7 linked regions of the Canis lupus familiaris genome follow. The protein of the gene in region 1 interacts with the protein of each later gene in a pairwise test. Links are inferred from orthologs where the notes say so. Each region holds a gene or a part of one and is shown on either strand. Other genes may lie near its edges. The genes, in order: HOXA1, FBLN1, EGFL7, NELL2, SPRY1, EFEMP2 and FAM221A.

Region 1 (4,477 bases):
GGTATTCCAGGAAGGAGCTCATTCTTGCATTGTCCATCTGTCACTGAGGGACCGGGTCCTGCGAAGCCCTGGGTGACCGTGCCAACTTTCTCACTTCCTCCATGGGGCCGGAGAAGAAAAATGATATGAATGTACAGTGCGCAAGAGGGGGGGCGCGAGGGCGGAGGGCGCAGGGGGAGGGGCACGTGACTCCGCCAGCCAATGGCGGAGCCTCCTGCGAAAGTTTGCTGGCTCCCGCGGTGATGGATCACCGTTTCAGTGGCATTTAAATCCCCGGCGCTGCTCAGTCTAGGTGACGCGCAGTCGCCCCCCCAGGCAGCCCAGGCGGCGGCGGCAGCTGCGGCGGCTGCAGGGGCAGATTCGGAGCGCTGGGCCGAAGGGGAGCAGCCGCCACCCTCTGCGCGCGCCGACTGCGCTCTCCCCCCCTCCGGGAGGTGGGGGCTGGGAGGCATCCCCGTCTCCGCCCCCTCCCCACCGAGCACAGAAAGATGAACTGGCGAGAGGTGAGAAGGGAAGAGGGCTCCGTCTCTCCGGGGTCGGGAACCAGCGGGCCAGAGCTCGCCGCCCTGCCACCAGCTCGGGGCCCGAGCTCGCCGTGCGCGGAGCAGGAACGGCAGCTCCCCGGGCGCTTTTCAGTCCACAGTCCCTGCTGCGGTGCCGGGGCAGCGAGAAGCCCAGGGGACAGTGGCGTAGGACGAGGCTGGGCCACCAGCTCTTCAAGCTCGGAAGGGAGAGGGAAGTGGGCAGAGGATTGGCCTGCAGGACCCCAGGTGGGCGTGGAGGGGACAAGAGCAAGGGAGAAAAAAAACAAAAAAACAAAAAAAACCCTCCCTTCTCCAAGGAGGGTCTCCGAACCCTACTCCCTCCACCCTAACATTATTAGCAAGGCAATGAGAAGCTTCTGTAATTCGACGCCCGGGAGCGGGTGATTGGTAGTATTTCAGCTGGCCGGAAAAGGCCGGGGGTGGCCGGGCTCTTCGCCCTCCCTCTCTCCTCGCTCTCCGCCCCTTTCTCCTCCCCACTCGGCTTTGCTCCGGGAGCCCTACGGGATCCGGAGCAGCTCGGCCGCGGGATTTTGAAGGGTTGGAGGCGGGGGAGAAAGATGACGCTAGCGGACGTGGCCAGCGTGGGGGCCGGGCGGTGCGCTGCAGGCCATCTGCCGGCTCCCCCGGACCCAGGAGTCTGCGCGCTCCGGCAGGGGCCTCAAAGGGCGAGCCCGCAGCTCCAACAAAATACGCTGAGCTCCCCCCGCAACGGTGCTCGTTTTCTGCAGGGGGGATGTTGGGAGTGGTAGGGCCTCCTTTATCCACTGACCGCCCCCTCCCCTTTCTACTGCACGTCTGAGGTGGGGGGTAGGGGCTGGCAGGTGGGAGGGGCGGGGGACAGATGGCTGATGGTGGACGGGATATTTTCTTCTTCCCCAACACCTCCTCCCCTTTGTAACTGCCTGTGTAGTTCCTTGTGTGAACCTTCAAGTCTTTCCCTAGAGAGACACGTGCAAATCTGAGCGTCATCCCAGGCCAGGGGTCCTGTTTTCCATCACCCTCATCCTACCCTGATGCTGACGGGGTCGTTAATTGCTGTTTACTATTAGGTTTCGTGTCAACCCTTGGCTTGTAGAGAGAAAATGCCAAACTGAGACCGAGGATTGATGCATTCTTAGGTAAAAGAAATCCAGAGATCATCCAAGAAGCTTTGCAGCCAATGCAGCATAGATTTGTCTCTGACCCTGTGTACCACATCGGAATCGAACAGATAAAAGTAATTTGAGGATGGGGTTCCCACTCCCCTCTAGCTTTCCTTCCCCAGTTAGAAGAAGAAAGTTTTGCTCGAGGCAGGCACATTTCAAGTGTGTTAGTCAACCTTTCAGGGTTCTCCATCCTGTTCTCCACTTATAGAAGGCTTCCCCCCTCCCAAGTCGCCCCTTCCCCCAGGGGAAACTCTTGCAGAAGTCAGACTACGGATTCCCTCAGTAGCAAAGAAACATTTCCCCCCCAACATTTCCTTTTGAAATGGTATTTTTCAATGACCTTTGACCTATCCCCAACCCCGGTTAAGAGAGAGCATGGACAGGAAAGGTCACTCCTGCCCCAATTTCAGCACCTGGGGACGTTCATCTTCGAGAAGGGAAAAGGAAAGGCGGCCCTTCTGGAGGCGGCTTCTTTGGGAGCTCCAGGCTTCCAGCGACGGGGAGAGGAGGGGCTCCTGTCGGGAAGGAGGTGGAACGTGAGAGGGTCCGTGCTGGCATTGCGGACGATCTGCCTTCCGAACCAAAGGACGTCCTTTCCCCTGGCCTCACTCCTTTGTTGGCTTCTTCAGCCCGGGTTTGCGCAACCCCCTTGGCCGCAGGGCTCGCGCCACAAAGCGCCCCGGGCCGCAATCGCTCCCCTTCCTCTGCTAGTTCTCGGCCTCTGCGCTCCACTCCTTCCACTTCTCTTCCTCCCTCCGGGCCTCATTCCAGAGCCAGCACGGGTGGGGGTGTTTTTCTTGGGACCACATGCATGCGCTTGCACACAGGCCCGCAAGCGCTCGGGGCCGCGACCGACCCACCTCCGCGCACTGCTCCCGGCTCCCGGCTCCCGGCTCCCGGCCCGCCGGACTCTCGCAGCCCAGCCGGCTCCGCCCCGGTTGGCCGCCCGGAGCGCTGCTCTCCGGTGTGGCTTACAAAGGCAGGCTCCCCTGGCCTCGGGCCCGTAAGGCTTCCGTAGCTCGGTTCTTTCCCCACCCCCACGAAATCCTGGGGCTCACTCCGCCTTGCAGAAGACCCTGGGCCTCGGGGCGTGTAGGCCAGCGCCCCACGACTCGAGCTGAAGTCCCTTTAAATGCCCCGGGAGAGAGAGTGGGCGAGAGGAGAGCTCGATCGCTATTTAAACGAGGACCTGCGAGCGGCTTGCTGGGCTCAAAGCGCCTCTTCCAGGGCTCTGCTCTTAGCAAGGAAAGGAGCAAGGAGGAGACAAAACGCTGCCGAGGCCCGGAGCTGTTCATGGCATCCGCGGCTCAGCCAAGCTGTTGTTTTAAAAGAGCAATAAAAATGAATTATGACTAAACGCCTTCTAACTTAATGCTTTCGGACGGGGATCCCCGGCAAATACGTAAGAGGATTTTTATTTGTGCATGTGTTCCTGCAATTGATCTCTTTGATGACATTCTCATTCATAGAAAGCGTTTGATTTATGAGCGTAGGACGAATCGCAAACAGCAGCGGCTCAGCCGGGGCTGCGGCCGGGCCGCCCTGCTCAGTTCCGCGCCTGGAGCTGGAGACCCGCCCGGGTCCTCACACGCCTCGGCCGCTGCCAGGATTTAGGGGGCAAAAGGGTGGAGGAAGGTAGGGTGCAAACCCATGGAGAGAGATCGCGATTTCTTTGTAACTTCCGAGCCTTAGCTATTAAGAGCCGGGCTCCTAAATCAACCCGCCCCCCACACATGTTGCTTACACGCTGCGTTTTCTCACGGTAAGTGGCCATCGCGGCAGAGCTCAGTAAGGGAAAGATCAGCATGGGGAGATGTAAGAAGGGGGAAAGAACCAGAACAACCCAGTAACGTGCCCTAGATCACATTTTATTGATATTTTATTTAAAGTGCTTGTTCTCTTTCTTTCTAGAAACTGGGTTAATTTATAACCTAGGGCGCAGAAACTCTCCATTTAAAATCTCAACTTGGTAACCTGACTTCACAGCTTTAATGATCCATTATTTGCCATGTAAACAGATTTAAGAATGAAATATTGATTTTTCTGACCCTGAAAAAAAGAATCCTAGAATGACTGAACCAAAGGATTGGAAAGAACCCTTTCTGAAGTGCATTTTCCAGCTAGTAACCATTGTTTTGTTTTGTTTTTGTTTTTCTCTACCTTTTAGGTCTGTTTGCCTGGACCCATCAACAGCTGGGAGACTAATCAACCACACTGAAAATGTTTCCGGGATTGTGGGGGAGGGGTTGGAATGTAGATGTTTGAAACAAATGTGTATAAATAAATGAATTTTGATAACTTAGTTATTGACCTGAAGACTGGTAGCTTGTTAAAGAAACTCCATGTTCCTCCTTCCTGGAGTTGGGGGTTTCTGTAGGCACTTTATTTCGCCACTTTCAAAAGCTTGGGCTTGGCTCAGCTCTGGGGCTACCCAATTCTGTTTCTATCACCAATTTAAATCTATGGCTTGAACCTCTACACTGAAAAACCAAATCCATTCCCTTTAAAAAGAAAGAAAGAAAAAAAGGAAAGAAAAAAAAAACACTTCTCAGAAGTCCTAACCATTTTCTGGTTTTCTTTTTTGTTGTTGTCTGTTGAAGACTTTGAACATGCCCCCTTAATAAATATATTAAAATGGAAAAAGAAGATGGATTGTGACCAGAATTTTATTTACCAAGTTAGACTAAAAGAAGAAAAAGAAACCGTTATGAGCCTTGAGAAAGAGGGGGGAGAAAAAAATAAGAAGCTACTTATAGCAAAGGAGAATTTATTCTACCAAAAATACTC
Region 2 (3,789 bases), on another chromosome or scaffold:
GCTGATGCCCGGCTACTTCGCAGTGCATTTCCTGGGGCTCCGCAGACTGGGGTTGGTGTGGGGGGAGCTTAAGCAACAGAAATGTTCTGTCTCCCGGTCTGGAGGCCAGATGCCCCCGATCAAGGTGATGGCAGGGCTACGTCCCTCTGAGGCCGCAGATCCAGGCTGGGCTCTTCTGGCTTCTGGTGGCCTCGCGTGCTCCTTGGCTGGTGCATCTCCTGCCTGTCTTCACGTCATTGCTCCTCCGTGTGTGTCTATCTCCGGTTTCCCCTTTCTTTCTTTTTTTTTATTTTTTTATTTTTAAAGATTTTATTTATTCATGAGAGACACAGAGAGAGAGGCAGAGACACAGGCAGAGGGAGAAGCAGGCTCCCTGCAGGGACCCTGGTGTGGGACTCGATCCCGGGACCCCAGGGTCACACCCTGAGCTAAAGGCAGCCGCTCAGCCGCTGAGCCACCCAGACATCCCTCCTCTTTCTCTAAGGACACAGACACGGCCTCTCGGACCCCACCCTAACGCCCCTTAGCTCCGTCCTCTGCAAACAGTCTGCTCCAGGGAAGGGTCACAGCCATAGGTGCTGGAGGTTAGAGCTGCACCATCTTTGTGGGGGGAGACCCCATTCAACCCATGACAACAAGCCTTTACCAGGTGCACCGTTGAAGGTCTGGGGGCCGTGGCTGCATTTGCTGAAATAGGCAAGTGAGGCAGGTTGCCTGACCCCCATGCCGTTTGGGCACCGAGCTCCCCAAATGGGCACAACTGCCTGCTATTTATAAGGAGGGGGAGTATTTATTCCGGGTTTCTGCAGAAACGAGATGAGACACCGCGTTTGGGTAAATGTCCCTTTTGCCCCTCTTTCCCCTCAGCCAAGATTTCGGAGATCGAGGAGGAACAGGAGGACCCATACCTGAATGACCGCTGCAGAGGTGAGGCCCTGGTAACCGTCCCCCACCCCAGGGGACACGGCACTAATCCCACTGGGAGCTTGACCTCTCGTTTCACTCGGGTTCTCCTGGGAAGAGCCCTTTGGCTTGGAGTCCGCTGAGGTCCCTCTGCCCCATCCCCCCGGCACTCCTGGGCTCCCCACCTCCTCCTTCCCTCCAAGCCTGGGACTGGTGGGTGCACAGGGAGGAGGCCACGCGGGAAGTGGGCATCACAAGCCTCCCCACTATGGCGACCCCCTAAACACAGGCTCCGGGGAGGGGGACCATCTGGGGAGGGGTGAGTATTGCTTGACTTTGTGTCCTGGAGCCCCAGCAGTGCCAGGGACCGTGTCCACGTATCCGTGTCTCGCAAGGGAGACGTTTGCAAACGTAAAGTGAGCACAACGGGCCTGGCAGATTTGTTTTTCAGATGATAAAACTTTATTTCTCTTTCCCGGAGCATTCCCACATGTCTAGACTGGCAAGTCGTCTCCAAAGCTTCATTCGGAGCCTTGCCCTGCCTGTGGTTGGAGCGTTAATTGGGAGCCAGTGTAATCACAAAATGATGTGGTCAGCGCACAGGGACAGTTGGCACAGGGGCGGGGTGGGGGGTAGGGGTGGGACTGGTGGAGGGCAGAGAGCCCAGAAAGCTCCCTGGGGGTGTGGGGGTGGGTGGGAGGGTCTTCCTGGGGGAGGAAGTAGCTGGTTTGCGACGAGTGAGGGTGGACGGAGATTTGGGCAGCAGGAGCGGAGACGTGCACACCCAGACCCACCGCAGCTGGTGGGCCATGGTGCAGGGAGGGGTGCGGTGGGGGCAGAGGGAGAGGCTGGGGAGGCGGGCCGGGGTCATCGGGCCCCGGGCAGTGGTCAGAACTGTGGTAGCGGCTCTAGTTGGTGGAGGTTTGTCCCGGGGAGATCTGCTCTTTGAGCATCACTCAGCTGCCCCGTGGGAAGCATGGGTGGAGGGGAGGTAGCAGGGCCACCCAGAAGGCCATCACAGCTCACCTCTGCAGGGAGAGGGGCCTCACGGGACTGCCCCTCCGTGTCTGTGCTGGGCACGAAGCCAGCAGCATCACTGGCTTCTCCGCCTTGTCCCTCCCAGCCTCACTACAACCGGCAGGGATGGCCCTGCATGCCGCCAGCTTGTTGGACCAGGGCTCAGACCTGAAGCAGCAGCCCTGGGGTTTGCCCAGGGCCGGATCCTGGGGGTCTCCCATGAGAGGGGAGGGGGTACGAGGCCAGAGAGGCTGGGCTCCACGATGGGGAGCCTGCCTTTGTATGTTGTCCACCCTGAGTGCATTTGCTCTGGCCCAGTCCAAACAGAACCGGAAACCCAGAAGGTCTCTGGTGTGTGTTGGGCTCCTGGCTAACATTCGCTCTGATTTGCTCTGATCCCAGGCGGGGGGCCCTGCAAGCAGCAGTGCCGGGACACGGGCGAGGAGGTCGTGTGCTCTTGCTTCGTGGGCTACCAGCTGCTGCCTGACAGCGTGTCCTGTGAAGGTAACGGTCACTGAGCTCCAGCGACAGCACAACGGCACGCAGCCGCACTGGGAGCCTCGGCCTCCGATTGACACCTGGGCAGGCCCCACTTGGCGCACGTCGGGGCCCCATCTGTGGGTGAAGAACAGCATTCCCTGGAGTCTACAGCGCGTGGCGCCCAGCCACGGCTCTCCTCCAGGAACATATGAATACAGTGTCGGGAAAGAGGGTTGGCTTTGGGGTCTGACCAGGCTCTGGCCCTCAGCAAGTCCCTCAGCCCCTCTTGAGGTGGGGGAGATGGAGGCAGGTGATCGCTTCTCCTGGGGGAGGCCTTAATGATCACATGACTCCAGTTCGGGGCCTGGCATGTGTTTAGCAGGTGCTCAGAGGGAGCAATAGATCTGAGACGTAGCAGGGGGAGGATGCCATTGGTAATGAGTGCCCAGGACCCCTTCCATCCCGAATATGCACGTGGCGGAGGGCACTTCACAGATGCTGGGACCCAGTTGCCCCATGCTTCTGGTACATTCCTTTTGTTAAAGCTCAGGGGGGCCATGGTTCTGGCTGGTTACTCCTGCTTTGCCTCTGTCTCTCCTAGATATCAATGAATGCATCACGGGCAACCACAACTGCCGGCTCGGAGAGTCCTGCGTCAATACGGTGGGCTCTTTCCGCTGCCAGAGAGACAGCAGCTGTGGGACTGGCTATGAACTCACAGAGGACAATGACTGCAAAGGTATAACATGCTCCGAGCCTACACACCTCAGCTCCCCAGGAGTAGATAGGATGTGCTGCTAAAGGCAGCACCGGGCTCCCCGGGCTCTGGGCTCCCTTGGCGCCCCGGGGCCCCAGGACTTCCTGGGGGGGCACTGGCCAGCTATATTGTTAGTAAAGATTTACCTTCTTTACTGTAAGGTTGAGTTAATGACAAGGGTGAGTTTGCACTTCTGAAAAGGTTCAGGGCAGGATCATTTCAAAACAAGAGCAGAGGTGAATTCCAGGTGCTCACATGGACTTTCTACCCACCACGCAAAAAAAAAAAAAAAAAAAAAAAAAAAAAAATTTTTTTTTTTATACAACAGCTGCCTTCCATCTGACTCCAGGCTTCCTTGAAGTTCAAAGCATAGTCTCTTCCGCTGCATAAAAACATGACATTTCTGGCTGCTGGCCTTTTCCCCACCAAGCCATAGATGTTATTTGGCAGATAAGGCTTTGATGAGGATCTATTAGAACATAGTTTTCTTCTGAGGGTTTCCAGCCCTTCAGAATGACAAAACCACTTGTGTGAACATTCTGGTTGAGTTACGAGGGTAGCTCAAAAGCCAGGCACACCCTCCTGACGTCTGAGGGCCTTTGGGCCGGCTCACTTTGCTCCACCCTCGCTGG
Region 3 (3,559 bases), on another chromosome or scaffold:
CGCGCCGGGGGCGGGGGAGGGCGGGAGCCGGGGCGCGCGCGGAGCTGGGGGGCGACGCGGAGCGACCGCGGGGAGCGAGAGGTGAGCGGGCCGGGCGCGCCGGGGGGCCGCGCGGGAACAGGACCCCCGGCTCTGCCCGGATCCTGCGCCCGGTCCCGAGAATGGGCCCAGGGGCCCCGGGAAAGGGCGCCCCCTGCCGGCACCAGGCTACGAGCCGGGCCGCTGGGGGATGTGGGGGCCGGGGCCCGGGCCGGGGGCGCGGCGCAGCCCCGCACCCGCGTCCGGGGCCTGAGCGACCCGCAGGGCCTGGCCCGGGGCCTCGCCGGCCCCAGACCCCGTGTCTCTCTCCATCCTCGCCCCCTCCCCCGGGGATCCGGCGTGCAGGAGGACGGGCGGCTTGGGGCCGGCGGCGGAGGGGACGCTTCGCCCCCCGCCCCCCCCCCCGCCTCTTGTCACCCGCCTTTCTGCCCTCCCAGGGTCCAGAGCACCCCCCCCCCCCGCCCCTGCTCCGGGCCGCCGCGGTGCGGAGAGTCAGGCCCCTCCCTCTGCGGAGCCAGCCCTCCCGGGTGGGCCCCCGCGAGCTTGCAGCGCGGGCAGGTGGCTGGGGAGGGAGGTGGCAGGATGGGCTCCTGCTGACCCTCAGGGAGGAGGGGACACAGTTGCTTCTCAGCTGCGGCGCTGCGGCCACCCGCCCCCCCACCCCCGCCGTATCTCCCCCGCCCAGCTGGGCTGCAGAGGGAAATGAGACTGCCAGGCCAGCACCGGGGAGGTAGCGCCATTGGCCTCCTGCGGCCCCAGAGGGCAGGACTTGAGAAATTGAGTCTCTCCTGTTTTAAAGCATGGTCCCCTTGTAAGCGGCTTTCCATGAGCAGGGCAGGTGCTAGGGTGGTATCCGCGGGGCAGTTGGCCTCGCAGAGTTGGGCCTTACCCAGCGCAGGTAAGCACAGGGTCTGTGGAGCCCTGCTATGCTCCTACCCAGCTCCCCCTCCCCCACCCAGGGCCCTGGACCCACCCCTACCTTCCCAGCCCTGTGCCACCTGTTCCTGTAGTTTCAATTCTTGCTGAGACCCCTAGGAGTGCCCCTAGTCGTGTGCTCCCCCTGGGCCCGTTCCCAGAGCACCCTGACCCACAGGTCATGCCCCTGCCCCGAACTGCTGAGAAGCACCCCACTGTCCCCAAACTAAGATCTGGCACCTTGGCTTTGCTGCTTGGGCCACCGACAGAGAACAGAGGGTCCACAGAGGACTCCTCCCGCCCCCCAGCTGCCTCCCGCCTCCCCAGGTCCATGAAGTGCAGGGGACCGGAGCAAGGATCCACTGCCTGCCGGCCATGTGGACCCTCCCCTTGGGCTTCGGCTTGGCAGGCCGGAGGGCTCAGTTAGTGCCCATGGTGGTCACTCTTCATGGGGCCAACTATCAGGGCTGGACAAGGGGCCTCTGAGACCCTAGTGGTATCTGAGGGAACCGAGTTCCAGAGACAGGGCGACCCTCCCCTGATTCTACCTTCTGCCACACAGCAAGCAGTCCAGCTATCCTCTGTGTCCTTCCTGCTGGATGCCCTGCAGGGCCAGGGGCTGCCCACTTGGGTGGAAGTCAGCCCCTTGGGGGCCTCTGATGGGGTGCCTGGAGCCTCACGTGTGCACGGCAGCACCCCCCACCCCTATCCCCAGCCCACCACACAGGCCCCTCTGCAGGTAGGCAGGCAGGCAGGCACGGCAGGTAGGCAGGCAGGCAGGCACGTCGCGGACCATTAATTCTGGGCTGGGCTTTCTCACATTCTGAGGAATGAATGCTTCCTCAGGTCCCCCGCGTCCGTGCCCCTTCCCTAGGACAGAGGGATGGCTTTGGCTCCACTGGCATGTGGGGAGGGCTGCTCCAGTCATCCCCTTTCCCCCCACACTGTCCTGGGAGCCCTGGACCAGACCGGTGGGACCCCAGCATAGGAGTGACTCCATCTCGTGCAGTCTCTGCCCCACTCTGAGAGGGACCATATGGCTCCTCATATGGAGCACCTGCACCCTTCATACACTCCCGTGCCTCCCCCGTGGCTCCCCGTTGCAAATGAAGACACTGAAGGCCAGAAGGCCAAGGCCCTGGGCTGGCTGTTCCCACCACCACCACCCATGTGCAGACTGACGTGGGACTGCCCGGCCAGGACACAAGGGCGCTATGTCCAACCAGGGCAGGGAGAGCTGGTCCAGGTGCTCTCCTGGGCCCCCACCTCCTCAAGTGAACTTTGCAGGAGCTGCAGATGTTGCCTCTGGCCCCAGGCGGGGGTCGGGGGGGCAGGGGTGTGCTTCTGTTCCTGCCATCGCGGCCCTTCTGTGGTTCCAGGCTGCTTGTGACCTGCAGGGGCAGGCAGGTTGCAGGAGGGGGAACTGCCTCTGTCTTTGGGGGCTTCCCCGCCCCCCCAGAGGCCGCAGGGGGTGGTGCCAGCAGAGAGGCTACACTGGGCCAGGGAACAGCCTCCCCCAGAGGCACGGGGTGAGGAGGGGTCTGCAGATGGGTTTATGGGGCTGTGCCTTTGGCTGCAGGCCACCCGGAGGAGAAGGCCGTTGCACCTGCAGACGTGGGCCATGTGTGACTCTAGGGAGCTGCTCCTGCTGTGGTTTCTGGTGCTGGCAGTGGGTGGCACTGAGCACGTCTTCCGGCCTGGGTGAGTCAGAGCCGTGGGGGGCTCGGGCCTCAAGGTGCCGCCGCGGTGGGGGTGGGCAGCCAGCTGCCCTCAGGGCAACCCCAGGACTCGGGGAGCCAGGGCTGGTCCTGTGGTTTTCACACTTGCTGAGAGTCTTTCCTGTGGTGGCGCCAGGAAGCCCCTTCCTCAGGTTCTTGGCTCCCTTGGTTGCGGGGCTGGGAGGGTCTGGGCGCAGGGCTGGAAGCTGTGGGACTGACTTGCTGGCCTCCCCGCTCTGTAGCCGCAGGGTGTGTGCCATCGGGGCTCCCAGGGGCCCTGAGTCTGAGTCTTTTGTGCAGCGAGTGTACCAGCCCTTCCTCACCACCTGTGATGGTCACCGGGCCTGCAGCACTTACCGGTGAGTGCCCCTCCCCATCTGCCACTCGGCCACCTGGGGCCCAGGAGGGCAGTGTGCCCCAAGGTGGGGAGCCCGGGGCCCAGCATGGTCACAGGGACTCCCTAGGACCATGTGAGTAGATGGCAGAGGCTGACACCCGCTCTGCACTGGGCGGTCTTAGTAACTACAGGCGTCCTCACCGGGGTGCACTTGTGCTCCCCGCATCTTTGGAGGGTTTGCCCTCCCTGTCTCCTGCCCTCTGCTTTTGGGGTGTTGGCTACAAGTTCTTACATGTTTGAGATGATGGCTGCCTCCCCAGAAACCCGCCTCAGAGCTCCAGTGGGAGCCTCTCCCCAAGAGGCCCCTGATGGTCACAGATGGAGACCCTGGTGCCACAACCCACCCCCCCAACCCAGGCCATTCTCATGGCCTAACCGCCCGTGTGAGGGGGCATGTCTCCTCCAGTCCTGAGCTGTGGAAATATGGTTTAAAGATGTTTTGTTCTCTGTGGGGGTCTCAAAGACCTTCCCGTGGGGTCCCCTCCACTGG
Region 4 (4,414 bases), on another chromosome or scaffold:
TGAAAGTTCTGTTTGGGCATATCAGATGTTCTAAGAGGGGGATTAGATAGATAGGCTACCTTCTGATGTTCATGAGAAAGATTAAAAAAATCTATATCCAGAGTACAAAAGACAGCAGTTTTAGGAGCAGTAGGTTTTCCTGTGGCATCTCATATTTGGTCTGGCTCTTATTGATCTGGAGTCTTGGTAGGTGGAGGTGCCAGATTTTATTTTCTTTTTATTTACTTATTTATGTTTAAAGATTTTACTTATTTATTTATGAGACACACAGAGAGAGAGAGAGAGAGAGGCAGAGACACAGACCGAGGGAGAAGCAGGCTCCATGCAGGGAGCCTGACATGGGACTCGATCCCGGGACTCCAGGCTCAGGCCCTGGGCCAAAGGCAGAAACGCTCAACCGCTGAGCCACCCAGGGATCCCCAGCATTTTATTAAAGGCAGCTAGGGACAGCACTGAATGATAACCGCCCAGACTCTCAGAGATCCCAGTTGTATTAGATTGAATAAAAATAACAAGTAGACCTTCCTTCCATCAACTGTGTCCTATTTCTGAAGCACTTTGTATATCAGACTCTATATTTTACAGGTAAGGTTAGAGAGACTAAATATATTGCTCAAGGTATCATGCCAGGGGCAGCCCGGGTGGCTCAGTGGTTTAGCGCTGCCTGCAGCCCAGGGTGTGATCCTGGAGACCCAGGACCGAGTCCCATTTGGGGCTCCCTGCATGGGGCCTGCTTCTCCCTCTGCCTGTGCCTCTGCTTCTCTCTCTCCTCTCTGTGTATTCTTGAATAAATAAATAAAATCTTAAAAAAAAAAAAGATATCATGCTGGGAAACAGGGAAGCTGGAATGTGGACACCTATCTGTCTGGTCCCAAAGCCTGGATACATTCTGTTCTTTCCTGATTCCGACCTACAGCTTTTCTCCTTCAGGGCAACATCCTTGGGCATATGGGAAAAACCCAAATACATGTCTAGGTAGGAAGGTTTTTCTCTACTAAGCACGCCTCGCATCATTGACGCAGAAGCATCTTTGTCCAGCTCCAAATGCCAGAGGCCCACCCCCACATCCATTGGGGGTGCCTCTACTTTGGGCCCCTGTCAGGTACTGGCTGCTGTTTGGAACATGAACCTCATGGTGCAGCCGTTTCCTTCCACTGCCCCTAGAGGGCAGCCTGCAGGACCCAGCCCCCCCCACCCCACCCCCACCCAGGGCCCTCTAGCTCCGACCTTCCCGGGGAGGGGGTGGGGGGGATCGATGTTCCCAGGAACATTCTCCAGGCCCGGCAGGTGTTGCCCAGGGAAGCGGGGCCGTGTGACACACCTCGAGTCCCCCCCACCCCTCCTTAGCTTCCCTTTGGTGCTCCTGGGACACGGTCATCAGCCCTGCCCCAGCTCCAGGTGACTTCTCAGACCTGCCAGGTGTGCACTCCCGGATGCTACAGGGTAGGTTCTCTCACTGAATTTCAGGAAGGACCAAACACAGGTACCTAGAGGATGTGGCAGCGAGTCCAAAATTCACTTTGGTGTGTTCCACCCCAAAATGCACAGGGTGGTTTATTTAAGTTGAGTCCCAGAAGCAGCTCTGGGTTCCCCCAAGGTAAATATTTAAATGTAAATATAAATAAATATCAGTATCAATATTAAATATTATAAATATCAAGCTACTTAAATATCGTTCTAGTTACAATCTTAGGTTACATAGGGTAGTAGAATTATGGCTTTTTTTTTCTAGGGGAGTTTTTAGCTATCGAGTATATTTAAATAATATTGGCAAACTACCTAGTTTAATGCAGGGATGCTATCAAGGTTTTTTTTTTTTTTTTTTCCTCATGATTTTCATACAATCATGATGACTCAGCAGTTATTTCCTTGTTATTTAAAATCACGACTCTAAGTTATCATTATTTTGACATCTAGACATATGAATATGTGTCAAATATACTTTAACATGCGTATTTTGGTTATCAGGTATAGACACTAAGCATACATCACTCCATTTCGCTGCCTCCACTGGAGTTTACTGTTTTATTAATACGCGTGAAATAGATTAGTTTATTTAGAAAAGAAAAAATAGCTGCTGCTCTGAAGTGATTCAATAGAAAAGACTTTGTCAATACGTCCATACAGAAAAAGACGTGGATTCTCAATAAAATAGGAAATGACGTTACCATCAGGCATATTCTGTTTAAAACTACCCTGTTATTCACTTAACTATTAGAAACAAATCAAGGCGAATTTGGTTCGCTGAGAAAATATCTACAGGGTGAATCAGTACAGTGTTATGTGCTGTAAAGATGTAAATAGGAATATGGCCTGATTCCTGTCCTCGATGCTCGGGTGGGGTGGGGGAAATAAAGGCAAGTATCTAAATAACTTTTTAAAAAGACGTAACGGTGGAATGCCATTATCTTAGCAAAAGGAACTAACAATCCTAGAAATAAAAAAGAGAAACATTACAATTTAGATAGTGCTGGCAATGCTGCCCATCATTCCTCCCAGTGATTGCCTGGAGTGAGCGTGACAGGAAGCCTGAGAATCTTTGGTGCCTTCAGTTTGCCTCTGTTCTGGGTGTCTCTCAAGTGCGAGCATATCACTGAGCTGAGTGTGATTCTAATTTTTAAAGATATGCATATATGCATTTTTCATATAAAATGGACCCTAAAAGCAAGCCAACTACTTCATCTGGTGCTCAACCAAAGAGACAGGAATCTGTTCCAATGCTGGAGGAAAAACTGGCTGTGCTGAACCAGCTCGTGGTCTCCAGTGGAGGTCCTGTCGAAGGACTTTTCCAGGGTAATTTTGGTTATTCATGATTTTCTTGTGTCTGATTTTAGAGCCTGAGAGATGTGACTCTGTTGTAAGATATGTATCTTTGGAGAAATACACACAGCCTGAAAGGGCCTTGGGTGCCAGGTTAGGAGGTTTGACTTTCTTTAGCCATACAGTTGGAGCCTGTTAAAGGCTTCTGAATAAAGGAGCTTATGATACCAGGTTTCGGAAGATCAATTTGAAAATCAATTCTGGGAGCACCTGGGTGGCTCAGTCAGTTGAGCATCTGCCTTCGGCTCAGGTCATGATTTCAGGGTCCTGGGATCGAGTCCTGCATTGGGCTCCCTGCTTGGCAGGGAATCTGCTTCTCCTACCCGCCCCCACCCACCCCCCTGCTTGTACGCTCTCTCTGTAAAATAAATAAATAAAATATTAAAAAGAAAAGAAAATTCTAGGTGGACTGGAAGATGGGAAAACTGAGACAGAGAGGCACTTGAGAAGCTTTTATGATCCTAGAGAAGTAATGATTGTCAGGTCTAGAGTGGAGGTGGAATAAGTTAAACTTTCTGACTAGGATGGATAAGAAATAGAGATTTTAAGTTTGAGTGACTATGAAGTTGGTGGCTTCTTCTACAGAGTTAAGGAAATCAGAAGAACTGGTTTTGCTTGGGAAGATGAGTGGGATTTTAGATAGAATGTGAGATAACTATTGGAGACCTGGGTAGAAATAAAATGGTTCGTTGGACTACATTCTGTTTAGAAACAGCAGTTGAAATCACAATAATAAACAACATGGCTAATGAAGATTAGTCTCGTAGAAAGCAGGGAGAAGTCCTGCTGTTGGTTCTTGGGGATTACCTATCTTTGGAGACAGGAGGAAGAAAAGAAGCCATTAAGGACACTAATGAAAGAACATTATATATATATATATATATATATATATATATATATAATGTTATATAGATGGAGTAGGTATTATATATACACATATATATACACATTTATATATATTTATATTTATATATATATCGGGAAAGAGAATTTTAAAATAATTTTAAAGAGTTGAAAGAATTTATTTTATTTTATTTTTTTGAGTTGAAAGAATTTAAAAAGCAGTTAAATGTTGCTAAAAGTTCAAGAATTATATGGAATATAATGAACTAATTTTGGGGTAGAAGGAAGAAAAGAAAATAATAGGTGAATAAGAGGTTTCCTTTTTTTTTTGAGAAGAGATATTTTTAAAAATAGGACAGAGGTGAGATAATTTCAGGAAAAAGATAGCAAATGATTTTAAGTGCTTCTGAAATTTCAAGGAGAGATGGAAGTTTAGACCTATAATTAAGATATGTGGTCTATCCAAGGATTTTTTTTTCTGATTTATAAACTCGTGTGAGACTAACAAATATATAACCATCAGCTCATATTTACATGCAAATAGTTTATTCTCTATTTGCTCAAAATATTTTTATTTATTTATTTATTTATTTATTTATTTATTTATTTATTTATGAGACAGAGACATAGGCAGAGGGAGAAATGGGCTCCACGCAGGGAGCCCGATGCAGGACTCGATCCCAGGATTCCAGGATCATGCCTTGGCTCGAAGGCAGGTGCTAAACCACTGAGCCACCCAGGAGTCCCTATT
Region 5 (4,226 bases), on another chromosome or scaffold:
AGCTTCCAAAAGAGGTTAATCCAAATACAACTTTAATGTTTTAAAGTGCTCAAACATTGAAAGTCTAGAAAACACTAGTTTCAACAGAATCATTTGTTATAGTAAAGAAGGAGCTTAAGCATTGAAAATTCCCATACCTAAATTTATACATGGTTTAGATTCTGGAGTTTTGTTTTGTTTGCCTTATTTTGTCAAAGACTAAGCTACTTATATCTAGTACCTGGAAAAAATACTTCTCTACTTACTATATATATTTTTGCTTTTTAGGTATTTTTTAAAAGGCTCTGTGGAGCCTTAACTTTCACATATAGTTCTCCTCACTGCAGCATAAAGTACACAATTTTTATAATAAATGTCTAAAATCCCATAATTTGTAAGAAAACAAAAGGTGAGTTTCCTACTGATTAAAATACTTTTTCCCCCCAGTAACACAACACATATCATTAAGAATTATAAAACTTCTTGGTAAATTATTTCTATTTTAATTGATTTCCAGTTGGCTGATTTTTAAAAATAAATGAGTTGGTTGCAGGTTTTTTTTTTTTTTTCCAAAATTATGGAAATCAATTACAAAATTGAAGGAAGTTGGGATTTTTAAATTCGATTTTTAGGAAATTATATCACAAGACAAGGTAGAGCACTTACTATAAAATCTACAGCAGGAAATTTCACCTTTATGAGGTAACGTTATATACATTTGCAGTAAGGAGTGTCGCCTTTTGAACTTTCACATTTCACACATTCTGAATTTGGCTTTAAATAGTAACTGTAACGTTACATTATCATCTTCTTAATATCAATATACATTTTCTCTCTAGCTGATCAGAAGTGTTGGCTTGGCATACGACTTTTTTTTTATCTTCTTTTATTCCTCAAAACTATTTTCTAATTCAACCTTAAAGACAGTGTCCGCCAATCCTTTGACTGAGACTGATGACGAAATTTAAAGGGTTCTTCTGTGACAAACTGCACTTGTAGGGTCTTTAGAGGCCATCTCCAATTTTTAGAGGATGTTTATCACCCACGAGTGTACAGGGCAACATTTCCAAGTTGGTACAGATGCACGAGAGAGGAAACGACAGTTGGAGAAATCCTGTTCCAGGTTTTCAGGCAGCCCGAATGATTGACATATGATATCACTGGAGGCGTGTCCTGGAGTGGAGGTGGAGGTGGAGGCGAGCTGAAATTCTGCGGAGCTGGAGTGGGATTGCTCTGTAAGGCACGCAGTGGTTTGCAGAGTGATAGCAACAGACAGAGCTCCTTACCCTGGATAAGGAACAGCTACAGTCGCTGTAAATGTGCCTGAAAAGCAATTTCCAATCTTTGCGTTAGGTAAGAACTGTTTCCTTCCTTTCATTCCGTAGGTATTTTAGGAAAGCTTAGGTGAGAAATGCTGGCTTTTGCAAGGAACTGAACATTTCTTTGAACTCGCTTTAGATCTAAGATTACTGGTTGCATTTCAAATTACCAGTAGCATTCCCAGTGCTAAAACGAATGCTCTTTAAAAAAGTAAACGCTACCGCTAAGAGGAAAAAGTAGGATCCTTTTCTTTTCTTTTCTTTTTCTTTTTTTTTTCCTTATCCGAACAAGTCTGAAGTCTGAAACGGTCGGTTGTGTGAAAAACAGGGTGGTTTTTGCCGAAGAGGGGCTGGCACTCGGTGTGTGGACCAGTACATGTTGGTTTAGGCATTGTTGGCGACCGAATCCCGAGCGGAGCGATTGTTTAAAACCTGAATTTCCCGTCCCCTGTGTATTGATTTCCAATGCGCAGAGGCGTTGCTTGAACGTTGTTTGAACTCCTGGCATTCCAAGGGGCAAAAGCACTTCGGCAAAACGTGCAAGACTGCATGTTACTTTGGTTCGCTGCTGACACGCCGACTGTGCGCCGGCCTGTCAATCACTGCGAGCAGCAACAGCCAGCACATGGCAGCGGGGCTGCGGGCGGCGGGCGGCGGGCGGCGGGCGGCGGGCGGGCGGGCGGGCGAGCTGGCGGGCAGCCCACCCCGCTCCCCGCTCCCCGCTCCCCGCTCCCCGCCGCCCGCGCGGCGCGTCCCGCTGCCTGCAAAGAAAGGGAAATTAATGTGCTGTTGTGTTTTGTTTTCCAATCGCCGATCCTCGGGAGCAGGCGTTCCGGCCGTGGAACCGGAGGGTCGGAGGACTGGGAGCGCGCGCTGCCCGGGAGAGGCGGACCCGCCAGGACCAGAGTCCCGGGGGCCGCTGTGCCCCCCACTTGCCCAGCGCGCGGGATCGGGAAAGTGCCTCGACCTGCGCGGGGGGGGGGGGGGGGTGCACGAAAGACGACGCCCCGCCTCTTCCCTTGGGAGGAATCCCCCCCAACCTCGCACCCTTCACCGCCACCCCTAAAACAGCGGGGCTAAAAAGCAAGACAAAACAAAACAAAAAAACCCAGAATATCCCCCGCACCCCGCCCCCGGGGGAGCCGCAGCCCCAGCCTCGCGGGCGTGCGCTCCCGGGCCGCGCCGGGGCCTGCTTGGTTCCGCGAGGCGCCCGGAGACGCCGGTTCGAGCCCCGTCCCCGGCGCCGCGGAGTCTCGAACGCCCGTGACGTGGGCTTTTCAGTCGTCGGGGGGCCGCCTCCTTCCTCGGCCGCGGGGAGCGCTCGGACCCGAGGGAGGACTGTCGCAGAGCACCGCGTGCCCCGGGGGCCCGGCCCGCGCGCTGGTCTCTGCCGTTTTCTGAGACTCGAGAGCCCTCTCGCAGGGGACCTTTTTTCCCCTTCCTGTTCTTTCTCTCCCCCCCCGGCTCGCGGGAAGGGGCTGCGGGAGAAGCCCGAGGTGGATGCGCCCGCGCCGCGCGGCGGGAGGGGGGTCCGCAGGAGTGTCCCCCGCAGCCGGGAGGGGGGTTGGCCCGGCCTCGCGTCCTCCCCGCCGCGCCTGATGCGGGTCGCGCCGCTCCGGCCGAGGTGAGTGTCCCGCGGCCTCCGGGCGCCGGCGGGGGGCGGGGGCGGGGGCGGGCGCGGGCGCCGCGCGGCAGGTGCGGGCCCCGGGGCTCGCGGCCCGTCCCCTTGAAGGGACGCCTCCGCGCCCAAGCGGGACTCGGGGCGCCTCGGGGGGTGTTGCCTCCGAGGAGCTGCCTCGCGCCGGCGGCGGGCTCCCGGGCGGGCTGTGGGCGCGGACGCGGCGGGGGGGGCGGGGGCAGGCGGGGAGCCCCGGAGCCCCCCCGCCGTCCGCGCTGACCCCTGCACAGAACCAGGCTGCGCCCGAGCCCGCCGCGCCTTCCTCCGCGTTTGGCGGGGCGAGGGGAGGGGAGGGGAGGGGAGGGGAGGGCGCTGCCGCTTTAAAAACGGGAAGTCCGCCCTCCTGAGGTAATGGTAACCTCAGCCTCCTCCCCTCCTCCTGCCCTGCCCGGAGAGAGGGAGCGAGCGAGAACTTGTTTTCATTCATAACTTTTTCCTTTTCCTTCCTCTCCGTCAACTATTTATTCGCCGCTCCCCTGCGCTCGGGTGCAGAGGGCGCAGCTCCGCCGCGGCAGCTGGCGGCGCCGCAGCACAGGGGAGCCTGCCCGCTCCTCCACGGGCGAGCTCGGCGCCCGCGCAGCCCCGGGGGCCCGCCACGCTCCGGAGGAGGCCTTGGGCGGCGCGCGCGCCGGGGCGGGCTGGAAGCGCCCGGGGCTCCCGGGAGGGCGCAGCCGCGAAGGTAGCGGCCGCCGAGGCCCGTCCCCGCGGGCGGCGCAGGTTGCCGGGGACGCACCGGGCGCCGGCGCCGCGGGGCACGGGCCGCCCCGCCTCACACCCGACGCGCCGCGCGGTCTCCCTGGCCGGGGGCCTCCACGGACTCGGGTACCACGATCGCGTGAAGCGCAGCGTCCAGGATGCGCCCGGCGCCCTCGCCCCGCTCCCCGTAGGCTCCGTGCTCCTGGGCGTGTGGGATCTGCCCGCGTGCCTCGGGATGCTCCGCCCCGCGAGCGCCCGGCTGCGAGCGCTTTGCAAGGAGGGATGAGGTCTGCGTGTGCCGAGGCTCGGGCTGTGCTCGCAGCCCCGGATTGCGGCGCTAGACCCGGCCGGTCGGCAGGGCGGTCCTGCTCTAGCTCGGAGAAGGTACAGTGGGACCCGGGGCGGGGGCGGGGGTCTCGGCTGCGAGGACGAGGGTCGGGACTCCGGGACGTCAACGTGCAAGGCTGGATCTGTCGGCTTTCAGCCCAGTTAATGCTGGAACGGACGTCTCGCAGCCTTATCCCTGAGGCTGGGGTTTCTGGCTCCAGAGTGGT
Region 6 (2,592 bases), on another chromosome or scaffold:
GCAGCTTGATGTATTATGGAGGTGATGCCAGGGACTTTGTGAAGTATCCAGGCAGAAATTGGGGAGACCAACAGATCCAGTGGTTTTTAAACTGAGCTCTAAGGACCCTGGGGTTCCCTGGGAGAGCACTGAGACCACCAAGGAGATGGAGTCAGTGAGGCGTTACAACTTTGAATCTAGTTTATATCATCAGAGTTCCCTGATAGGATCAAATATCCTTCCATAATAAGTTCTGTGTTTTGGAAAAGAAATATGTGGAAAGCACTAATCTTAATTGCCTCATTTTATAGATTGGAAAACTGATGCCCAGAAAGAATCTACTAGGGTTTAGTCAAATTGATAGTTTGAGGCCAAACTGGGATTAGAACCCAAGGCCTCCAATGTCTACAGTAGAGTTATAAACCAAACTCCAGTTCCTGGGCTGGGTCCCTGGAGTCTGTAGCCTTATCATCTCCTCCATTCTCAGACCGATTCTGATGTGCATGGTACATGGATCAATCCTGGTCTTGGGGACACAGTTCCCAACTTCTATCTATGGGGCACCCTGAGCCCGAATGGAGATACCCCCCTTTAGGTGATTGGCCTGCCTCCCACAGCCTGGCCACTTCCCCAGTCCAGGGGTTCACTACAGTGTTACCCACCCACCTCAGCCACCAGGACTCCTTCTTTCTCCCTTTATTGCCTTTCTCTTTCTACTCTTCACAACAGCATCTGCCCTTGCAGCCGAGCACAGTCATCCCTGAGCCCCAGGCTCTTGGGCCACAGGAAGCCTCTCCCTCCCTGAGGGCTCCCCACCCCCACCTCAGAAAGTATAGGCCCCCACGAAGACGGTGAGTCTCAGTACAGAACTGGCCCGGTAGCTCATGAGGGAATTCATGGTGACCATCTCCAGATCCAGCACGTACTCCCGGGGGCCCGTCACAGGCCGGGCGAGGACCAGCATGGCGCTGACATTGTTGATTTGCTGCAGGGCATAGTGGGTGGGGGACATGTAGATTGTGTCAACCTACATGCCAAGACCCCTGCCCCAGCCTCACCTCCCCATCCCATATCTTGAGCCCACAATCAGTTGGCTGTGAAATGGAGAGTCCTAGCAGGCTGTGACCCCAGGCTCTCATCCAGCTCTGATACCCTTGACATCTTGTCACTGATGCACCCAGGCTCCTGCCCTCAGAAATTTCCCACTGGTGCTCTTCCCACACTTTCCATCTAGTTCTTTTGTCTAATCAGGGTCAACTGATGATGCAAGGCCAGGTGGGAAACTTTTGGGAGTGGTGGGGTCTTTGGTGACCTGGAGCTGGCTGACTTCCCTTCAGAGCATCCAATTGCAGAAAGAGAAAACAAGGACTAATATCAGATAAACCCTTGGCCCCCTCTCCTCGTGAGTCATGCCTGGATCTCTCCCTAATAGCTCCACCAGCAGCGAGCTGGATTCTTGGATGCCAGACCCCTGCACCAACCCCTGCTGCCTCTCTCTCCAAGGCCCAGCTCCATCTGCTTGTGTTCCCCAGACCCTGTTGTGTCCTGTTACCTGGGCAGGCTTCTCATGCCAGTGCCTTGTTCTAAGAGTGAACAAATCAGAGGCCAGATATGGAAACCAGTGCCAGGACTCAAACCCCAGTGTCCAAGTGCCTCATTGGAACTGCATTTAACAACCTGTAGTTTGTTAGTTTGTAGCAAGGGAATTTAGAATACCCCTACCTTTCTGCAGAAATTCCACCTCCTGGGGGGACAGGGCTTTGAGAAAAGGGGTAGAGCCAAATCTCCCACTTAAGGTTTTCTGGAATTCAGTTTTGGATTATGCATGTCACTTGAGGGGTGCAATTAGGGGAAAGCCTTACCCTAATGTAGAAATCCCCTTGCGAGTTTCCTGCACGGATCTGAAAGGCATTGTAGGCGCCAGGGTAGACAGAGGTTGCTTGGATCTGGAACACATCGGCGGGCACACTCCGCTCTGAGGTGATGCTCATGTAGCGGTGCACAATAGACGAGGGCTGCTCCCGGCACAGGGGGTTGGAGGCCGGACAGAGGCAGCGACTAGAAACCCCAAAATGGGGACACAAATGAGGTCCTGGCCTATACCCCAAGTTTGGTCCCATTCCTAAAACTAGGTATCCCCAAAGGATTCTCCCACTCCTTCTAGAACTGTTTGCATGGTTTAGTCATGAAAGACTACAATTCCCATAGGCCCTGGAGCACTAGACAGCCTGCACAGCAGCCAGTCAGCCACAGAGCCCTCTGAGAGTTGTAGTTTCTGCGGGCGGGGGGTGTGGGGGCGGGTGTCTGGTGTCCCATGGACTCACTTGTCAGACACCTGGACGTAGGGTTCCACGCAACGGTTGGTATCCACACAGCGGTAGCCTCCATGGAAGTTGACACAAGTTTGGGCCTCAGAGCACTGGTGCGCGCCTGACTCACACTCATCAATGTCTGCATCAGGGGAAAGGGGCTGGAACCCAGATGTCAGGCCACCAGCCCCCGATACCACCCTACCTGCTCCACTGGGGCAACCTGTACCTTGGCAGAGGCGTGTGGCCAGCAGCTGGTAGCCCTGCGGGCAATGGCAGGAGAAGCGGCCAGGTTCGTTGACAC
Region 7 (4,302 bases), about 3.0 Mb from region 1:
TTTAAAAGATTTTGTGTATTTATTAGGCAGAGGGAGAAGCAGGCTTCCTGCGGGAAGTCTATGTAGGACGATCCCAGGACCCTGGGGATCACGACCTGAGCCAAAGGCAGAGATGCTCAACCACTGAGCCACCCAGGTGTGCCAACACTTAAACAAACAAACAAACAACAAAAGTTAAAACCATATATAGTATTTTAATGAAAAGGTGTCATTTTCATAAAATGTTAGAGTAATATTTTCTATTTTGTTCCATAGTGTTGTCAGTGACTTCTTTGGTCAGAGTTGACTGGAAGAGCCTACAACTGCATTGTCTATTTTAATTATTTCCCTCTAGACTCATTAACTTGTACTTGCCTACATAGACACTCCCCTGCCAATTTTTTATCAGCTCACATAGCCTGGCACTTTCTGCTATATTTGTTAAGTTAGCTGATTTACATTGCCGTTTTAAAAAATTTTTATTTTAATTTTTGAAGATTTTATTTATTTATTTGAGAGGGTGAGAGAGCATAAGCAGGGGGAGCAGCAGAGGGAGAGAGAGCAGGCTTCCAGCTGAGCAGGGGTCCCCATGGGGGGCCGGATGCCAGGGCGCAGGGATCATGACCCGAGCGAAGGCAGGTCATGCTTAACCTTCTGAGCCACCCGGGCGCCCCACATCGCAGTTTAAAAATGTTTATTTATTATTAATTTTTTTAAATTGCAGTTTTTTAAATGCCAATTTTGAAACCACAATATCAGCGAAAAGCTCTGTACAAAGAACTAAGCCATGTTCTGTGCGTCCGCGATATGCAAGGCATCGCACTCCCTCGTCACTTGTTACCCTACAAGGAGAGCTGCGAGACCCGGGAAAGGGAGAGGCACCCGCGCCAGGTTGGAGCCTGCGGTAAAGAGCAATCCGGGCGGCTCGGGCTGCTCTAGGGGACGGGTTTCTCCCGCCGGGATGCCACGGCCAGGTGGAAGCGCGCACCCCGCGCCCCGCCGCGGTCCTCGGCCCGGCCAATCCGGAGGCGGGCGGCAGGGGGCGTGGCCGGCAGGGGCAGGCCAATCCGGAGGCGGGCGGCGGGGGGCGTGGCCGGCAGGGGGCACGGCCAATCTGGAGGCGGGCGGCAGGGGGCGTGGCCGGCAGGGGCAGGCCAATCCGGAGGCGGGCGGCGGGGGGCGTGGCCGGCAGGGGGCACGGCCAATCTGGAGGCGGGCGGCAGGGGGCGTGGCCGGCAGGGGCAGGCCAATCCGGAGGCGGGCGGCAGGGGGCGTGGCCCTCAGGGGCGCGGCCAATCGGGAGGCGGGCTGCCGGGGGCGCGGCCGGCAGGGGCGGGCCCGGCCTCGCTCCCGGGAGGCCCGCGAGCCGGCGCGCCCATGGCCGCCTCTCGCTTCCCCGGACGATGGAGCGGCTGACCTTACCTTCCGGCGGCGCCGCGGCCGTGGACGACTACCTGGAGTACCGGAGGTGAGGCTGCGGCTCGGCGTGGCGAGGAGAAGGCAGGCGGGCCGCGTCCCCCGCGCCGGAGGAGGCTCCCGGAATCTGATCCCCGGCTGTTGCGGGAGGCTCACAAACCTTCATTGGAGTTTCGTCTTTTTGTAATATTGTAATGACACGTAGCTCACCGTAGTTGCAATAAGTCTCTCCCGAGGCTGTTTAACAGATCTCCCGCTCCGACCCCTTCCAGGAGGGATTATTAACTCTTAGATTTGTGCGGAGGTGCAACTGTGTTTTTCTAAGTGGCCTGTGACGAGTTACGCTTGGACTGCTCGGGCCTCGTCGTTTGCATGGTGGTTTAGCAATAGGGTGTGTCGTGAGCTTCCAAATGCTCCCAACCCCGAGGTGCTGGTTTTAGGAGAAAGACTGGTGGTGGTGCGGGGGTTCCCGAGAAACTCCTCTCACGGAGATGGAAACATAGCTGCCGCTTTGGTTTGAGGATGCGACTCACTGCCCTGGGCCCTGACCAAGGCTGATGCACCTGCGGAGACATGTTATTTTTTCTGGTCTCCCCAAGAAAGGTTTTTGGCAGTTGGGAGACTGGGTGAGTGGGAGTTCCTGGAGAGGGACCAGCAGGAGCATATGGCTACGGTTGAAGGCGCCAGGGGCGTCGGGGTCGGGGAGGAGGAGAGGGGAGGCCGTTTGGCCAGGGAGGGGGTCGGAGGGAGGAGAGTGTGTGTGTGTGTGTGTGTACACGGGAAGTGAGGCAATCACTGCCCCGCCTGAGAAGTCTGAGCAAGAGGGGGTGCTCTGCTTAAAGACGGCCGCCCCAAATCACCCAGGGTTGCTAGGACAAACGGCTTGCTTAGTTGGCCTCCGCTCCTTCTGATGGTCCCGGTGGAAGTTTTGGGTAACACCTAGAAACGGTTGGTAATTCTGAGCCAGATAAGTAAGAATGAGGAGCTTGGTGAGTCAGGCTCATCCCCCCGGGTCTGGTGGGTCCAGGTAAGGCCGTGAGTCCTGTGCCCAGAACGGTTTCCACCCAGTCCTCACCAAGGGCAGGGCCGGCTCCTTTAGCCTCCAGGGCTTTTTCCTGGGAGTAAGTTGCTGGGCCTTGGTGTTGGTTGATTACTTAGATAATTAGTTTAGATAAGTGGACTGTCAGCCTCCAGATATGGTCTCTTGTCTGGTTCAGAAAATGTCAAGACCTGGTGGAAAATGATTTTTGCAAATACAGTTACCTGGAAGAATTCACTATAAAAGTTAGAGCCTTGCCACTCAAAGTGTAGCAGTCATGGACCAGTGGTGTAGGCCTCACTTGTGACCTTGCTAGAAATGCGCACTCTCAGAACCACTCCAGACCTATTAATCAGGATCTGCATTTGAACTAGATCCCTCGGGGATTCTGTAATTACTGTGAAGTTTGAGCTGTGCTGGCTTGGCTTAGCAAATACAAATGATCTCTATCTTTAAAGACCTGTATTGATTTTGATTTTTTTCAGTACCTATTGGTAAACTTCATGACAGCTATTATAATGTGAGATGACCCAAAACTTTTCTCAGAATAAAATCCCCCCCCCCTTTTTACTATTGTGTTTCTAAATTATTTAAGTAAGGAAGAAGGTTGTGATGGCTTCGTAGCTTCTGCATTGGTTTTATTTATCTACCTCAGCTAAAGGCTTGAAAGTATGGAAAAAGTATGGATTGCACAAAAAATTAAGTAGCATCCTACAAACAAACATCTTTCATGACTTTTAAGGGGTGATATTTTCAAGGAGAAATTTCTTCAATTCTGAATAAATTATTTTACTTGCGCTTCCTTTTTCTCCAGGGATGTCAACTCTTAATTTCTTAAGAAATTAAGAAATAGTGGTAGCTTAATTTTTCCCATAAAACTTTAAAGTTGATGTTTTGGAATTAAACAATGATTATCCTGGGATCCAGGGATCATGCCCTGAGCCAAAGGCAGATGCTCAACCTCCTGAGCCACCCAGGTGTCCCAGGAGTACTATTTTTAAAGAAGGGAAATATTAGATTTTTTTTAGCAGGTTAGGCATCAGCTTTAATTTTTTTATTTTTTAAAAAATTTTATTTATTCATGAGAGACACAGAAAGAAGCAGAGACATAGGCAGAGGGAGAAGCAGGCTCCATGCAGTGAGCCCAATGCGGAGCTTCATCCCAGGACCCAGGATCACGCCCTGAACCAAAGGCAGACGCTCAACTGCTGAGCCACTCAGGCATCCCAGGCTCCAGTTTTTATTGAAAAGTGTGAACATGTTTGCTTCAGAATCAAAGGAGAAAATGAGATTGAATTTGCGGTAATTGTTCGGTGGTAAACCTGGATCAGTAAAGTCAGATGTCATGAGTTCAAGAGTTTTTTTTTTTTTTTTTTTTAATAATCCTCTTTTACTTGGAAAGCAAAAGCTTTACTACTATTTTTTTTAAAAAAGTGTTTTTTGTTTTTTGTTTTTTTTAAGATTTTGTTTATTCATGAAAGACACAGAAAGAGAGAGGCAGAGACATAGGCAGAGGGAGAAGCAGGCCCCCTGCAATGTGGGACTCAATCCTGGGACCCAAAATCACAGCCTGAGCCAATGGCAGACACTCAACCGCTGAGCCACCCAGGTGTCCCAAGCTTTACTAGTATTGTGTGTAATTTTGCTATTAACATAAGCCTAATGTAAAAAAAAAAAAAAAAAAAAAAAGCAAAGCTGAAGCAGCATTTCCTTTGACTTTATAAGCATAGTTTAATTTTAGTTTAGTGTTTTTAACCTAGAAAATAAATATTCAAGGCTTAAAATAAATTTTTATTGTTGTAGAATAATAAATATTCAAGGCTTAAGAGATGTTTTTATTGTTGTAGAATTGTTGGTGATGACGATGG

The links.
Region 2: the proteins of HOXA1 (region 1) and FBLN1 interact in binary tests that used the Homo sapiens proteins (3 or more experiments, as listed by UniProt). The link is inferred for Canis lupus familiaris from reciprocal best matches to the Homo sapiens genes HOXA1 and FBLN1.
Region 3: the proteins of HOXA1 (region 1) and EGFL7 interact in binary tests that used the Homo sapiens proteins (3 or more experiments, as listed by UniProt). The link is inferred for Canis lupus familiaris from reciprocal best matches to the Homo sapiens genes HOXA1 and EGFL7.
Region 4: the proteins of HOXA1 (region 1) and NELL2 interact in binary tests that used the Homo sapiens proteins (3 or more experiments, as listed by UniProt). The link is inferred for Canis lupus familiaris from reciprocal best matches to the Homo sapiens genes HOXA1 and NELL2.
Region 5: the proteins of HOXA1 (region 1) and SPRY1 interact in binary tests that used the Homo sapiens proteins (3 or more experiments, as listed by UniProt). The two-hybrid records come from large-scale screens. The link is inferred for Canis lupus familiaris from reciprocal best matches to the Homo sapiens genes HOXA1 and SPRY1.
Region 6: the proteins of HOXA1 (region 1) and EFEMP2 interact in a two-hybrid assay, tested with the Homo sapiens proteins (2 studies listed by BioGRID and IntAct). The link is inferred for Canis lupus familiaris from reciprocal best matches to the Homo sapiens genes HOXA1 and EFEMP2.
Region 7: the proteins of HOXA1 (region 1) and FAM221A interact in binary tests that used the Homo sapiens proteins (3 or more experiments, as listed by UniProt). The link is inferred for Canis lupus familiaris from reciprocal best matches to the Homo sapiens genes HOXA1 and FAM221A.

The regions. Positions count from the first base shown.
Region 1 is NC_049235.1:40,366,173-40,370,649, forward strand, and holds the start of HOXA1 (homeobox protein Hox-A1), read right to left. Parts: upstream 3,006-4,477; 5' UTR 2,709-3,005; coding exon of another isoform or gene 2,059-2,708; exon of another isoform or gene 690-2,058; coding exon of another isoform or gene 577-689; exon of another isoform or gene 435-576; coding exon of another isoform or gene 316-434; exon of another isoform or gene 223-315; coding exon of another isoform or gene 202-222; exon of another isoform or gene 94-201; 5' UTR 38-93; coding exon 1-37. Other genes in the region: WAS/WASL-interacting protein family member 1-like, read left to right, coding at 202-222, 316-434, 577-689, 2,059-2,708. UniProt on the Homo sapiens protein: Sequence-specific transcription factor. Regulates multiple developmental processes including brainstem, inner and outer ear, abducens nerve and cardiovascular development and morphogenesis as well as cognition and behavior.
Region 2 is NC_049231.1:21,496,045-21,499,833, reverse strand, and holds part of FBLN1 (fibulin-1), read left to right. Parts: intron 1-867; coding exon 868-927; intron 928-2,322; coding exon 2,323-2,424; intron 2,425-3,001; coding exon 3,002-3,139; intron 3,140-3,789. UniProt on the Homo sapiens protein: Incorporated into fibronectin-containing matrix fibers. May play a role in cell adhesion and migration along protein fibers within the extracellular matrix (ECM).
Region 3 is NC_049230.1:48,880,276-48,883,834, reverse strand, and holds part of EGFL7 (epidermal growth factor-like protein 7), read left to right. Parts: intron 1-23; exon of another isoform or gene 24-81; intron 82-2,533; coding exon 2,534-2,655; intron 2,656-2,914; coding exon 2,915-3,031; intron 3,032-3,559. UniProt on the Homo sapiens protein: Regulates vascular tubulogenesis in vivo. Inhibits platelet-derived growth factor (PDGF)-BB-induced smooth muscle cell migration and promotes endothelial cell adhesion to the extracellular matrix and angiogenesis.
Region 4 is NC_049248.1:37,245,380-37,249,793, reverse strand, and holds the start of NELL2 (protein kinase C-binding protein NELL2), read left to right. Parts: upstream 1-1,378; 5' UTR 1,379-1,443; intron 1,444-4,414. UniProt on the Homo sapiens protein: Plays multiple roles in neural tissues, regulates neuronal proliferation, survival, differentiation, polarization, as well as axon guidance and synaptic functions.
Region 5 is NC_049240.1:17,792,599-17,796,824, reverse strand, and holds the start of SPRY1 (protein sprouty homolog 1), read left to right. Parts: upstream 1-1,165; 5' UTR 1,166-1,332; intron 1,333-3,786; exon of another isoform or gene 3,787-4,056; intron 4,057-4,226. UniProt on the Homo sapiens protein: Inhibits fibroblast growth factor (FGF)-induced retinal lens fiber differentiation, probably by inhibiting FGF-mediated phosphorylation of ERK1/2. Inhibits TGFB-induced epithelial-to-mesenchymal transition in lens epithelial cells.
Region 6 is NC_049239.1:51,895,994-51,898,585, reverse strand, and holds the end of EFEMP2 (EGF-containing fibulin-like extracellular matrix protein 2), read right to left. Parts: coding exon 2,518-2,592; intron 2,431-2,517; coding exon 2,304-2,430; intron 2,038-2,303; coding exon 1,842-2,037; intron 965-1,841; coding exon 803-964; 3' UTR 661-802; downstream 1-660. UniProt on the Homo sapiens protein: Plays a crucial role in elastic fiber formation in tissue, and in the formation of ultrastructural connections between elastic laminae and smooth muscle cells in the aorta, therefore participates in terminal differentiation and maturation of smooth muscle cell (SMC) and in the mechanical properties and wall integrity maintenance of the aorta.
Region 7 is NC_049235.1:37,402,431-37,406,732, forward strand, and holds the start of FAM221A (protein FAM221A), read left to right. Parts: upstream 1-1,306; 5' UTR 1,307-1,382; coding exon 1,383-1,447; intron 1,448-4,281; coding exon 4,282-4,302.